2 linked regions of the Caenorhabditis elegans genome follow. The protein of the gene in region 1 interacts with the protein of each later gene in a pairwise test. Each region holds a gene or a part of one and is shown in the gene's direction. Other genes may lie near its edges.

Region 1 (7,717 bases):
TCATTCCGGTGATGCATGCTTTTCTCCTTCTTTTTTTTTGTATTTCGCCCACTGCTTCTTCATCATCGTTATATTTTCTTAGTTTTCGCAGGGCAGAGTTAAAAAATAAGAAGACAAAAAATTAGAGGAAAGTCATTCAAGTGTAATAAAATCTAAGCGATTCGCCCCGTTTTTCGAGATTTTATCGAAAGAATGAATGCCAATTGCGCAAGCATTTCGATGATTCCATCCACAAATTCCACTTTTTCCCTCATTTACGTCACCGGGATAGATTAATTTTCAGTTTAGGAAGTTATGAAGCATGTGGTTTTTTGAAAAGCTCTGATTTCGCACTTAGAGGATTTTCAAAAAAATATTATGCTGAGAGGAAATGAAAACATTTACTGTTTCAAATAAATTGCAAAATAGAGTTTGTTTTTTTTTCGAATTTATTAGAAACTCTTAAACTTATTACCTTACCTGGAAGTTTGAAAAAACTCATACCTACCAATTTTGATATTCAGTGAAAATTAGTTTTTTATATCCAGAGCAAAGCAATGTCGTCAAATAATTTTTAGAGTGTTTTTCTTAAAAAAAAAACAAAAAAAACTAAATGAGAAATAAATATTTTCGAATGTTAGGAAGTCTGAAAGTACTAGAAATAAGTTTTTTTTAACTGTTTAAGATGATGAGAATACACAAAAGAGAAACATATTTTTTGTACTGAACTTTTCTAGTATTTTCTGAAAAAAACATTAATGTTTTTCAAACCTAACTATAAGACTTGGAATAATTACTGCGTTCAGTGTTTTAACTGTTCTACGAATTTTCTTTTTGTTAAAAAAAAATTATATAAAAGTTTCTCATATGTTTCAAATTTCCAAGTGCCACTTAAACTTCTTCACCTACCCAACTGACCACTACCTATTATTTCCCCCCAATTCAGAAGTATTTTCTCTCTCTTTTTTCCTCTATATTCACCTCAAAAACTAGTAGTCGTTGTATTTGGGCAAAATGTCCTTTCCGTTCTTCTGTCCACTACCACCACGAATACCCTCAACACTCACTTTATTCCATTCATTCTTCCCGTTTCGACGATTCGATTCACACATAAATTATAGTATACATACTTGAACCAAAAAAATGGAAACGGGGAGGAACGGGTTCGGATGAATGACTTTTCACACTCCTTTTCCTTGAGAAATGACAAATTGGAAGACTCTGTGAGCCAAGATAGGCGGAGCTTCGAATTATTCACCAACTTTCTTATTTCTTTCTTAGAAATTCGTTTCTTAAATTTTTGATCTTGACAGACAGCTGAATAACCTAGTTGATTATGGGTATCACGTTCTGTTATCACTATGGTTACTTTATTTTGTTTTTCTTTTTTCTTCCACTTGGCGTCACAGCCGCTATAAAATTTATTATTCTAGCAGTTGGCTCACTTCTTCATCTAGATCATGAAAAAGTGCTTCTTTTGTTGGTTCACACATTCAACTTTTTGTCATTTTATTTAGACCGCATTTTGCCACAAAAAAATTACAAAAGTCGGATAATTTGTCAATGTTCTACAACGCATCTATTATTTAAATTTGTATGCTTGTTTTTCTAAAAATTCGAATTCCAACCTGTAATCACTCTAAAAATACCTGAACATTGAAGCATTGGAGCATTAACTTCCTCTAAAAAATGGCTTATTTTCCCCTATTTCTCTATTTCTCTCTCGCGTTACCATTCATTTTTTATATTTCTCACCTGATATTTGCTCTTGTACCGGTAGTTCCAACATGTACATACACATTCATTTTACAGTCTTCCTCGCACATTTTAACAGTTTTCCTTTCATATACGAATTCCTCCATCTTTTTCAAATTCCCTTTTTATTTTTTCAAACCGTCGTCCTTTTTATAGCTTTCCCACTTTCTTCCAAATCAAATTTTGAAATATTTCAGAGTTTAACTCTCAATCAAATCGAAACGAACGATCTTCTAAAACATCATTGGGCTCCTGAATCAGAACCACGACAGCGTCATGACCGACGTGTATGAGTCGCCTGCCCGCGAGGTATGATTCTTTTTTCCTTCATAATTTTGCAAAAAAAATGGTATCTATTTTTGAAAAACTAATATTGACTAATTTTCTATTAGGCAGAACACTGCTCATCTCCTAATATTTGTATGACGGATTGTACTGGTATTTTTATATGTTTTGACAAGGCTTCCCAATTTACAAAAACATAAAAACAGCTAGCTATTAATAATGAAAAATTGTTTGGATCTATATTTGTTGAAAATATTTTTTACTGACATTGAAATTTCAAAAGTTGTCAAATTGTAAATGCTCATCGTTTGCAAGACTATTCTTATTGTATGAAAAAGTGAGAAGCTGCAAAATTCCATTCAACAAAAAAAACTACTAACATTTTAATATTTTCAAGACTCCAAACTGTAAGAAAATCTAGCTCCACACTCAAACTAGGCCATGTACGTAAAACTAGTATAATTTACAGTTGAGTCATGTAACATGTATTCATAGTTGCATTCATTTGACTCATTTACCTCGTTCTCCCCCTCCCTTCCCATTTCCTTCAACTCTGTTCAGTTTCCCGAGTACACATTGAATCTACCTGCTCCTGAAGCTGCGCCTCTCATCCTCTCGGGCTATTTTCCATTCCGTAAAAGTAACTTGAGCCTTGTTCACATAACAACAAAATGCGGGGCAAGATAGAATGTTCGCATTTCAATTGTACTAGAGACCTTTATCTTCAAAGAATAGTTTTGGTTTTTTTTCCTGTTTCGTAAAGTGGAATGAGTGTTGTCCCCAATCCATCTCAAATTATACTTCATCTTACGCTCATCCACTTTTCACCCACTTTTCAGACTCTTTAAATGACCATCCTTTTCTCTTTTTCCTTTTATTCTTATAACAATAGACGTGATTCTTTTAATTTGTGGATTTGCCGGTGCCGCTCCTAATTACTGTATACTTCTCACTAATACTAAAGTTTAGCAATTAAAACTATTAACTCAAAAAGAAGTAAACCTATTTTCAAAGCATTCTTCCCAATTCAGAGTTGATGAAAAGCCACAAAACAATGGGATCACTCGAAAAAATGTGTTTCGAAGAGCCATGCATTTTGAGCTCTTAGAGCTAAATCACAAATCATTGAAGGTTCTATGTATGAACATTGAATAAATCATTTCGATTTAGGGAGACTATACGTTCAACTTCCTCTTTGTACCAACTTCAGTATTCGCTACAGATTTTTGGTTCCTTGTTTCACTATTGAAAATTTTAATGTTTCCAATTTCTTCTACAAGAAACATCATGACCCCATAATTCACTTCCTAATCGTCTAATCATCTCCTCTTATCACAAGAATTACTTGGGTGTGACTGGTCATTTGAAATAGCTTTGCAATTGTTTTTTCTTTGCTTCTCGAAACCCGTCAAAAAACTATCGATTAATTGCGCTCAATAGAAGACGTACAAAACAAGTGAACACATACAATGACTATCCAAAAACCGGATTCGCTTTCCCTCTCTTTTCACTTGTGATTTCGCAATTCTTTCATCTTCAACGTCTTCTTCTTCGGTTGTTTTTTGTATTGAGGGTTTACAACCTCAACCTGATGACCGTGGCTGAAAAGATAAACTGGCAAAATTGAAGAGACTAGTTGAAGCTAGAGAGACGCAGGCCTGAAAGTTGAAGAAGGCGGTTCGAAATTGATAACAGTCTCTTCGTTTTCTCATTTCTTCTCAACACAGTACAATTTGCCGCATTCACTCGTCTGCTACTATTACCTTCTGAACTATTGATTTGGTGGCATTCTGTCACTCATTTATTTCTCCAACAATGACTACTGAATTCGTGTCAGAAGAGGAGTCCAAGTATGCGGTAAGTACTCTACAATATTGACATTAACGGAGGGAAATTGATTCCAATGGGGTTAAGTAAAGTCAGTCATACAAGTTTGCACTTTAGTGATTTTCTAGGCAGCTTCACAAAATAGCATTAAAAAATGCATTTTAAACATCTAATCGTTTTTTCATCAGAAACATGTGAATTTCCAGAGCCTTCTCCTTACCATTTTACATAAAGGGCGGCGATCTTTAACCAAATTTTTCTCATTAACGATGATATTGTTTTTTTAAATAGCTGAAATGTTGAAAATAATACACCTGAAAAAGAATCCTTCAAATTATTCAGCTTTCACAATAAATAAGGACAGTTTATTTTATTTATGCTTCAAGGGACACCACATTTGCTTCTTTTGATTTGTTGTATGAAAAAATCTAAAAACGGTTCTATCAATCTTTTTTGAATGCATTTCATGCGACAGTAACCTTTATAATCGTTCATATTTCCCTCATGTCAATTTCAATGTCCTCCACTTTTTTCCACCTATTTGGGACAGGGATGAGTCACTGAAAAACTGTCTTCCCACCTTTGAAAAGACCATCCCCTACAGTGTTTGCTCGCCGTCTCTAAGTCTCTCCAATTTGTGTACTCTATTCCAAGTGAAGCTTTTCCACTCGAAAACCGTATTTCGATACACTCCTTTTTCTTTCTCAGATGCTGAAGCTGAAGACCCATGTTCTTTTCCTTTTCTATGACATTATTCTAGCACATAATTATAGTGTCAAAAAAGGGAGAAGTGTCTAGAATTCACATGTCACGTGGAACATTATTTCAGTTTTCACCTAGAAGTTCCCACCAATTTGTGTTGTTTGTCAAACAACTTTTGTTGATGATCTCTGATGATCTACTCTGAACTCTGTATTTTTTTTCTGTCTAAAACGTCATAGGAAATGAGTCAGTTGCCACGTCACAATAAAAATGGGAAAAGTATCGGAATTTTTTGGTTCTAATCTATTTGTTTTTCGTGTAAGAATGCTCATCGTCTTGTCGATCTTTTGATAGGAAGGGAATATAAAAAATAAATAAAAACAACTTGAGAATTCAACAGCTGATTTTTTCCACAAGAATTGACTAAATTTATAGCTATATAAAACGAACTGCCATATTGGAATACAAAATCTCAATTTTTGACAAACGTGATAAAGAATACGGTCAAATTTGGCAAACTTGCGGTATTTTCCTATCAACAACTTTGTTTGTGGAATTAATTTTTCAGGTTTCAATTGCATAATCTTTATATTCCGTTAGCATCAAATTCAGCGCAATTTTTTACGTCACACGGTTTTCAGAGCTATAAAAGTTTTAATATTTTTAAAAATGATCTTTTATAATTTCTAACATAATCATTCTCTTTTGAAAACTTGAATACAGTTTCAGAGAATTTCAAATTTTTAGAAAAATCATTTACATGAATTATTTATGGAGAAAAAGTTATCTGCAAATTTTACCATCTACATGTTGTTTCCATTAATAAAATGTACGTCTGTAAATTGATTCGCGCACGTTTCTAGTGAAGCTTCATGATGTAGTCCGGTTCCTGGTAAAATCCCAACAAACCACTTACCGTAATCCTCACGCACTTTTTTCTTCTTCCACTGTCCATTTTCTTTCCTCAAAAAAGCCTTGCAAACCGTTCGAGGCTTTTCCGTGTGCCGCTCTTTGTTATCCACTCGTTTTTCGTCATATTTCTCTTCATCTTTTCCACGCAAAAAACGTTTGTCTATTCTGTATGCTTATGTATGTTTTTGTTCTCTTCCGGAATATAGATGAACAGAGAGAGGCAGAGAGAGTCCGCGGAAAACCGTCGGCGGAACGACAAATACGTCGTTTTCCGGACAAGGCAGCCTTTTTGCCGCAATCGTCATTCCCGTCACTTGATATCTCTTGTATTGCCCGAGTTTAGTCTCTTTTCAAAAAGAGGTGAACACTGTCGTCAAGTATTCCCAGTTCTGTGAATTCATTATTTTTGTTATTTCTTTCTTTTGATAATTAGAAGCTCGAATGTTCCAACTATACGAGGTGAGATTTTAGATATCTAGATCACGCAGTCTAAGTCTTGTTTCAAGCATTATTTTTGCATTTGAGACTCAAAATATAAGACTAGATGGTGTACGGTTTAATCGAAAATTATGATATTGAAACTCCAGACACTAAGAAACTACTATCTACTTTATCAAATTTTTGAGCAATTATCGAATGATTTTGATGATAGAAAGCGCCAGTAGAAAATTCTATAAAACCTTCTTAACTGACCAAATACAGTTGCAAAATTTGAACTGAAATTTTTGGACTGAATTACCATGATCAGTGTACTTCAAAAAATTCCAACTGATACAACTCCACTTTCAAATTATATCGTCCAAATAACATTTATTTATTTTCTACGCTCATTTTCTGTCTTTCGTTATTTCCAAAAATCGAAAACTTCAGCAGGGAAAATTGTTCTCCTCGCTACTATTTCTGTTCAACTAAAACTGATCTCTCTGATCCGTTAATCTCTCATTTTCCGGTGATTTCACACTCTGTGTGCCGTGGTCTCAAATGTCGTTGTTAGAGATTTTTGAACTTTTCTATTGAATCATCTGTTTCAGATTTTTTTTCTCATTTTTGTTCCTCTCTGTAATGACAAAGCTCGTAATGACGTGAAAGGTTTCGGTTCCATTATGAGTCAAGAAATGAAGTGCTTGTTCCCTCCCGCCCCCTCTCTGGAAAAGTGAAGAAATTGAGTCATTCCGAGCAATATCTGCGTCTCTTATCACTCTTATCGTCGCCTGCTCAGGTGGCACAGAAACTTGTCAGAAGAACATGACAAGACATGACATTTTATGAGCTCTTTTCTAACATATTTGTTAGAGGGGAACTTTGTTTTAAAACTACAACGTCCTTCGAGTACTTAGGTATTTAGTTTCATTGACTCACATCATTCTACATTTTTTTAGCTCTAAATCCCACGTGCGTCATTTCATAGCGTCTGCTCTGTCCGTATCCATAGAAACCGCGAGGAGCGGCTCAGTAGAAGCAGGGACAGCTTAAAAATAAATATTATTCGAGGCTGAAGAGATTCAGAGTTCGGTGTTTCGCAATCCGCTCCACCTCTATTCTCCCACCTCTTTTAATATTTTTTGCCTAGTCACCACTGCCACACTTCAAAATTGAAGAATTCCAGAAAGAGCATTATCTGATTGATGTGAGTTTTGAGTTAATACATATAATCTTTTTGTAATTGTATGTTGTAATTGTATCCTTTAATTAGCAAAAATTGGTAAAAAACAAATTTGAAATCGTCTTCAGATTTAAAAAAAATTTATGATACCTATGAGTAATATGTTCTGAAAATGATCTTCAAAGAAATTTTAATTTGATATAATCAAATTAATTTAGTTTAATCTTGTCTCTAATCCCATGTTTTCCACTCCCTAAATCGGGGCAATTAATCCGGGTAGACCAGTTCAAATCCCTTAACAACTAGAATTTTTCGTTTTTGCCTTGTTCGTCATCTCTTTTCAAAAAAAAATAGTTGAACGAAAAAAGTGCTTGTAAATACGACATAATGCTCTTCTTTCTAACAATAGCTGCTAGTACTCCAACTAGAGCATTGGGCTTCACAGGAAGTGAGCACAATTTGAGCAGCTGTGCCAACCTGGCTTCCGTTGGCCCCCACATACGCCACCTTTCCCAATTTTTTTTTACTTTTCCAGCTTTTTTGGAGGAATTTTTCAAAGAATTAAAAGAGATAAGATGGAAGAACGGAACTAGAAAATGTTGAGAAGATGCTAATTTGATACGGTTTCCGCTTGTTCCATCCATTTTTCCTCCT
Region 2 (7,717 bases), on another chromosome or scaffold:
CATTAAAAAATTAGCAATTGCCAAAAACATTTGGCTGTCTACTCCTGATTGAACGAAACAAGTTTTTTTTTTTCAATCCCTTTTTCATTAATTTTAGCACTATTCTAACAGTTTTCAGACAATTTAAAATAAAAGCAAAATGTCTTTCAAAACTTTTTTCCCGCTTTTATCATCGCATTTCAGATGATCTACATCCCATGCCTTATAGTAATTAGTAGAAGCGATTTAATGAAGTCTTCTTGTTATAAGATCATGGTTTGGCTTGGATTTCTGGATATTGGATGCATTTTGACCAATTCTATTGCTACCGGCTTCCTTGGAATAATGGGAGCAACATTTTGCTCGTACCCAAAATTTATTTTCATGATGGGCTCTCTTGGATGTGGTATGTTAGCCCATTCTTGGAAAAGTACTTATAGGAATATTTCAGGATGCTGGATGGGATCCTGTGCTACCTGTATCCTTCTTGGAATCAATCGATGTTGTGATGTTAATCAACATCTCCGAATCCGCACCATATTCATCGGCCGGAAAATCTACCTCACTATAGCTGTCCCCATTCTTTTTACAATTTACTCGATATTTTTCACCAAACCCGTTATATTTAATTCAAACTATATGAGCTGGTTCTTTAATCCAATGCTCCCTGGTCACGAGGTATAGGGGGGAATTGGGCAATAATAACAAAAAACTATACGATTTCAGGCGACCGACTACATAAACATCGCACATACCATCAACAACTGTGTTGTTTCCCTGGCAACTACAGCAATATACTCGTATCTATGCATTCTATTGTTCGCCAAGAGCAAACATTTCCGTTCAGAGTCGATTTCAAGAACTCAGACTCAGGTAAAAAAATTAGCAGTTATGGAGTGCTGTGCATGGAGGCGCGGCCCGCCCGTCTCGCCCGGAAATCGCCTCAAAAAATTATAAATGAACATGAAAAGGAAAAAGGCATATATACAATAACAGTATGCATAGTATGCATAGTATACAAAAAAGGTTAAATAACTTATATGACAACTTATATACAACACCGGCTCAAAATCAGCGTTCCACGTTGTGATGTTATTTTATTTTTGTTAGCTGAAGAACATTCTTGGTGTATTTAACTAAAACTTGATACATGCTTGAAAATTCTGCCAAATCCAGAAAAAAAACATTCTAGAACATCAAGAATTTGCGCGGCAATTCAAAGTTTAAAGCATGGTCGAGCTGGTATTTTCCTTTTCTTTGGACCTAGTTATATCAAACTTTCAGTTGTTTCACCACAACCACTACAACTTTTTTCAAGGCTAACTGTGAATCTTTCAGTGTCATGACAAACAACTGATTCCAGATCTTCTTCCAATCCGTCCTGATCTGCTCTTTCAATGCAATCGCTGCCTACATCTATGTCTACATGCAATTCTTCTATTCTCCCCCAGCCGTTGTGCTTGTTGGACAGCTTGCATGGCAGTGCGCTCACGGTGAGAACAAAAACTCGTTGCTAAAACACACTTTTTTGTCAGCATTTTTTTTGTGAAAAATGTAACTTCATGTGAATTTCACTATACGAATGAATAATTGGGATGACAAAAAAAAAATGAAAAAGCACGAAGATGATGACAATTTTGAGCTCGTTGAAGTAGAAGGAGAAACCAATAGTAATTCATCAAAATGAAAATTTCAACAAAAAAAATAACTTTTTTTCGGTAATTTTAAGACTCCTCCGTGCAGGTCTATAGGAGTACACCTAATTTTTTTTAATTCTCTAATATTTCAGGATCCGTTTGCATCGTGTACATCACAATGAACAAGACCGTCCGACGAGGGGTCATCGATCTTTTGGTGCCACGTATCATTAGAGATAAGGCCAGAATTGGCTCCAATCGGACAACGACTCTTCGTCCGATCCTTAGTGTAGTCGGTGTTGAGGCGAGGTTGACAACAAGGACTGGAAGTTCTGGACCTGTGTTTTAAAATTTTTTTTTAATGAACTTAATTTTTAATCTTTAAAGAAAAGTTTTAATCCATTGAAAGTCTATGTATTTTTCCTATTAGTTTTGCACCCCAAACTTTGACAACTGATATCTTAGTTATCGTGTGTCCTATGCAAAAACTGTCCATCGACAAAATATTTGTTACTTCTTTTTCAATCGTTTCGTAGTTAATTATTTATTGATATCTCTAAAATGAACCGAGTTATAACATTTTAAACTCATGTATTTAGTGGAATGCCATACTAGAGAAAAAAAATACAAACTTCATTCAATTTCTCCCTACTCATTTTCTCCTTACATTTCATTCTTTATTTTACTTTCTCATTACTACTTGATGAATAATAAACGTACTTATATATGAATATACATACTCCAAGAAAAACGACCAAAGTCCATGTGTCTGGGCTACATGACTCTCCCCAATTGTCATCGTGTACTTTGAGAAGAAGCAGCTCACCGGGGAGGGCTCAACGAGCTCGCCTTCTTGGCTCCGCCTACATTGTCACGACGACGATGTGCATATATACGCTTAATATATAGGTTGGGATAGCTAGCAGTCAAGACAAATAGCTCTATTTTTTTTGTTTCTTTGGTCGGCTTTGTTTTGCTTGAAATTGAAGATTTTTTTCTTCAGTGTCTGTAAAAATTTCTAGGACTCTATATCGTTTATTACAGTCTTTAAAAATTAATAAAAACTAAAAATTTGCTCATTTTTTAGGAAAAACTTTAAAACTAAAAATTGAATAACAACAAAATTTTGAAAACTTGTTCAATGATGAACATTTTCAAAAAATATGCAGGATACTGTTAGAAAGCTTTAAAAAGTTTCTAAAATTTGCTGAAATTTTAGAAAAATTTTTTTAATTCAGAAAATTTCCGAAAATTGCGGAAAGTTTTATTAAGTTTTCAGAAACTTGTAGAAAATTGTCAGAAAGTTTCTGACAGTTTCAGAAAACTTTTAAAACAATTTCACAAAATTTCAAAAAGTTCTAGAAAGTCTTAGAAGACTTCAGAAAGCTTTAGAAAATTTCATCAAATTTCAATTGTCTTGAACTTTCTGAAACTTTTTAAAACTTTCTAGAACTGTCTGAGTCTTTCTGAAACATAATAGCATAATAGTGGAAGGGCCCAAGTGCATCAAAGCATGCGCGGAGTTTGCTCCATTACCTCTAACTTTCTCGTGATGTTTGGTGCTCTTTTTCCCCCTTCCTTCCCGTGCCTATTGTCTTTTACTTTATCCATTTTCCCATTCATTTTCCCTTTAATTTTCTTCGTTTATCCCTTCCTCCATTTCTCGTTCTGTCTGCTTTTCTCTCAACCTTTTCCATCTATTGCAAAGAGAGTATCCACTATAAATCTCCCTTCTCCATCTCCCCTTCTGGCTCATGCACCACACCACAACCAAAAAAAACGTGTTTTTGATTATTGGCTTGTTCCCCTCCGGCTTCTTCTTCTTCTCCTAACTCCTCTACATTTCGTCCACAACTTTTTTTTCAGTATTTCCAATTTCAACATGTCTCCCGACCAAAAACATCGCTACAAGCTCTATTACGTCAATATGAGAGGACGCGCCGAGCCAATTAGATTGGTTTTTCAGTAGGTGGAGAAGTTGAAAAAATTCTGATCTTGATATATTTACAGCTTTCTTGGTGTGGACTTTGAAGATTACCGAATGGATAAAGGAGACTTCACTGGAGCTATGAAAGATAGTAGGTGACAGAAACTTCCTCAGATTTTTAGAAACCAAACCTAGCAATTTTTTTGAAATTTCAAAGTGCTCTGGAATCCTGTCTTCGGGGATGTTTGGAATTTTTTTTTCAAACTTTTATAAACTTTTCAAAACGCTTCAAATTATTTCAAAACGTCTGAAACCATTTGAAAAATTTTGGAAAATATCAGAAAGTTCTGAAGTTTTATGGAAATTATTGTGACTTTCTGAAACGTTCTAGAAACATTTGGAAACTTCTGAATCTTTTGTGAAGTTTGGCAAAAACTTCTCAAAATGATCGAACACTTTTTGGAAAATTTATGAAAAGTTTTGGTAACTTGACGGAATTTTATGGAAATATTTGGAAATTTCCAGCATTTCTGAAAAATTTTGAAACCGTTTAAAAACTACCAAAAAATTTTGAGGATTTCAAGAAATTTCTGGAAACTGATTGTATATTTCGGAAGTATCTAGCATCTTTTAAAAAATTTTGGAAACCAATGAAAATTTTTTGTTGGAAAGTTGGAAACTTTTTAAGCTGTTGGAAGCTACTAGAACTTTTTTTTTGGGAATTGCTTGAAAGTATTCAAAAAAATTAGGAATGTTGTAAGTGATGTTCTGTGATCTTTTGAAGTTTCTTAAAATCTTTCGGGAACTTCTCTTTTTTTAGAAACATTTGGAAATTTTTAAAAATTTTCGAATACTTCTGGAAACTTTCGGAATCATTAGGAAAATTATGGAAAGTTTTAAAAATTTTTGGAAAATTTTCAGTCAGATGAATCTTTCCAGAAGCCCCAATGAAACAGCTCCCTTTTATCGAAATCGATGGAGGAAAGACTACTCTCTGTCAGACGGTATCTATTTGCCGCTACCTGGCAAAGTCAATTCAGCCGGATAGATGGTTCGGCGGAGCTACCAAAACCGATTCGGCCAAAGTGGACATGATGGCTGATGGGTTTGCTGATTTGTTCCAGCTTGCCGCAATGGCTAAGTATGCACCGGATCCCATCAAGGTAGCAACTATACCTACTATAAAAACCAATTTTATCTCCTTTAGGATTCCATGATGGGGACCTACAAAGAGTCCATTGGTCCAAAGCTGGAAAATATGCAAGATTTGTTGAAAAAAAGCAAAGGAGAGTACTTCGTGGGAAAATCGATCCATTGGTGTGATGTCTACATTCTTGGGGTGTTGCAGGCATTGGATGAGGTGAGAATGGGAGACTTCTGCGCTAGAAAGCTGGAAGCCTACGCCCTCTAGAACCTTAGTAAAGTGCGTCAAAAAGGTGACGACTTTTGCTGTAAATGGGTCAGACTTACTCCAATCGTGCCCTAAAAAGACCTCTATACTAATTTCCAGAGCGACGACGGTGTCTTCGACAATCTTCCCGAACTCCGCGAGTACTATCTCAGAATGCGCAACCTGCCGGAATTAAAGGAATATATTGACGCCAACTGGCCGGAGACAAAATACAAAGAGTGATAACATGTTTGAGTACCTGATTGTGATTTCTGTGAGAAACTATGATTCTGATAGTGATTCTGAACAAATTCTGATGTTTTAATATTTTTGAGTGCCAGTAAATATGTATTTGGAGGTTTTGAATGCAAATCGTTTATTTTGAATGAAAAAAGTAGGCTTAAGCGTGACGAGCAGCTGCGGCAGCTTTACGTTGAACGGCAACACGCTTCTTGGCAAGAACCTTGCGAGCAACCTTTCTGCGGGAGAATCCTTGTGGTCCTCCGTGATGAGCACCGGCTCCATATCCTCCTCCGCCTCCTCCACGCCCTGGGCATGGGCAGTAGGCAGCGTCGGTTCCTGGGGTTCCATCGTTTCCTGGAGCTCCTGGCTGTCCGTCTGGTCCTGGCTGTCCTGGGGCTCCTGGGCGCCCGGATGGTCCTGGTGGTCCTGGTGGTCCAACTCCGTATCCACCTCCTGGAGCTCCATTGTTTCCTGGTGGTCCTGGTGGTCCGGCTGGTCCTGGTGGTCCTGGTCGGGAAGATCCTCCTTGTGCGTTCTTTCCTGGACGTCCTGGCTGTCCTGGTGCTCCTGGTTGTCCTGGTGATCCGGCGTCTCCGGCTGGTCCTGGGGCTCCTGGTGCTCCGACACCTCCTCCGAATGATGGGGCTCCTGGCTGTCCGTCGTTTCCTGGGCGTCCTGCTTGTCCGGCTGGTCCTGGTGGTCCTGGTGGTCCGGCTGGGCAGGTCTTGCATCCTCCGGCGCTTCCCTCGGAAGCTCCATTTGATCCAGCTCCTCCGTTTGATCCAGGTTGTCCTGGGGCTCCTGGGAGTCCATCAAGTCCGGCTTGTCCTGGTGGTCCACGTGGTCCTGGTGGGCAGGTGTTGGAGCTTGGGGAGCATTGGCATCCACCACCTCCGCCGCCACCACCTCCGTATCCTCCTCCGACGGCTCCTCCATGGCCTCCTCCGTGTCCTCCACCGTAGCCTCCACCGCCTCCTCCTCCTACAGCTCCTCCATATCCACCTCCGACGGCGGCTCCTCCGTGTCCACCTCCATATCCGCCGCCTCCTCCATATTGAGCGTATCCTCTCTTCTCACGGTTTGGTGCAATCACGTCGTTGATGGCTTCCCAGGCAATGTTGGATTTAACCTAGAAATTTGAAATTTGACTGTGCACCTCGCGCTGTGGACGAGGTCCTGGTAAGCCCTATTGAGCGGCCATGAGGCTCCTGGATCCTAGACCTACCTTGAACGCATCCATATCGACCATAACCTCATCATAGAGAGAGTTGACGTCATTGAAGACCTGGGCGGCAAAGAAAAGACAAGCAAGAATAGTCACACCGGACAGCACTGCTGCCCCGGTGGCAAATTTGATTGAAGCGGACATTGCTGTACCGACTGACGAATTCCGTCGCTCGAGTTCCTTTTATACTGAATTCTTACTAGGCATTTGAAAACGGTTTCAAGGACAGTTCTCTCTCCGTTTTCCAATTTTTCCGTTTTCCTGACCGAAAAACAGTCCGAAAACCGAAATTAACCGTCTGCGTCTCGTTACAGAATTCTCAATTTTTCCGTTACGTTTTTTCCCGAACGTCCTTGTCCTCTTCTTCGCCCAACCAAAACATCTTCCATTTCTCTGATTCTCTCACTCACTCACAGTCTCTCTCTAGATAGTTTTGTCTTAACGGTTCTACCGGGTTGACTTGATTTTGTTGACTAGATAGATGGCATAGGGCATAACTTTTTCGAAGGAAAAGAGATAGAAATGGGCAGCTAATTTGATGTTTGAGTTTTTTGGGGAAAAAATCTTCATTTTGAAAAATTTTATAATTAAAAAATTAAAAAACAATTCAATACCTCGTAGTAAAAAATAAAGACAATGAGATTGCGGGAAGAGAAATTATCCAAAATTGAGTCCGCCACCTCCATTTCCAGCTCCGAGGAATTGTCCGAAAAGTTTGAACAGGTCGTTTCCAGGATTGATGGGCACTCCGGGGATTATGGCGGCTGGAAAAATTGGAATTTTTAAACGTTTCAAAAATCTCATATGTGGTCAGATTTTTTGGAAGAAATTCAACTCTGAAAAAAACCTCAAACTATTCGTAAGTTTCACAATATTTGCCTCAAAAACATAGCACCCGGTCTTTCAATAACTGCAAAAGGGTATGTACCTTTAAGGATTTTTCATTTAACAGAAATTTATCGCGGCGAGACCGGGTACCGTCTTTTTGAGGCAGAAGTCGTGGAATTTCAATTTTCGGTAATTACAAACATCATAAAATCGTTTATTTTTCAGTCGAAACTTTTCAGAAAAATTTATTCTCAATTCATTTTGTTTTCAGAAAATATGTAGAGTTCTTTAGTTTCATAACTATCTGAACCGCCTGAAGAAAAAACTTAAAAACTCACGTGCTGGTGCTGAAGTCGTCGTTGGTGGGGCTGGAATCTCAACGCATTTTCCATTTTTCGCTGCAAACCCACAACGGCACATGCATCTTCCACGGTAGCATCCCGAATTTTGTGGACATTGCTTTTGAATGAAGCAGAGGGAATTGAGCG

Evidence for each region.
Region 2: the proteins of rfip-1 (region 1) and gst-40 interact in a two-hybrid assay, tested with the Caenorhabditis elegans proteins (one large-scale study listed by BioGRID).

Annotation. Positions count from the first base shown.
Region 1 is NC_003280.10:5,882,621-5,890,337, forward strand, and holds the start of rfip-1 (FIP-RBD domain-containing protein), read left to right. Parts: upstream 1-3,747; 5' UTR 3,748-3,834; coding exon 3,835-3,876; intron 3,877-6,839; exon of another isoform or gene 6,840-7,087; intron 7,088-7,503; exon of another isoform or gene 7,504-7,643; intron 7,644-7,717.
Region 2 is NC_003282.8:757,120-764,836, forward strand, and holds gst-40 (Glutathione S-transferase), read left to right. Parts: upstream 1-3,382; 5' UTR 3,383-3,498; coding exon 3,499-3,581; intron 3,582-3,626; coding exon 3,627-3,694; intron 3,695-4,482; coding exon 4,483-4,706; intron 4,707-4,750; coding exon 4,751-4,903; intron 4,904-5,053; coding exon 5,054-5,176; 3' UTR 5,177-5,300; downstream 5,301-7,717. Other genes in the region: srt-23 (Serpentine Receptor, class T), read left to right, coding at 184-385, 431-657, 706-852, 1,343-1,472, 1,769-1,965; col-103 (Nematode cuticle collagen N-terminal domain-containing protein), read right to left, coding at 5,334-6,305, 6,402-6,545; F56B3.2 (EB domain-containing protein), read right to left, coding at 7,059-7,165, 7,568-7,717.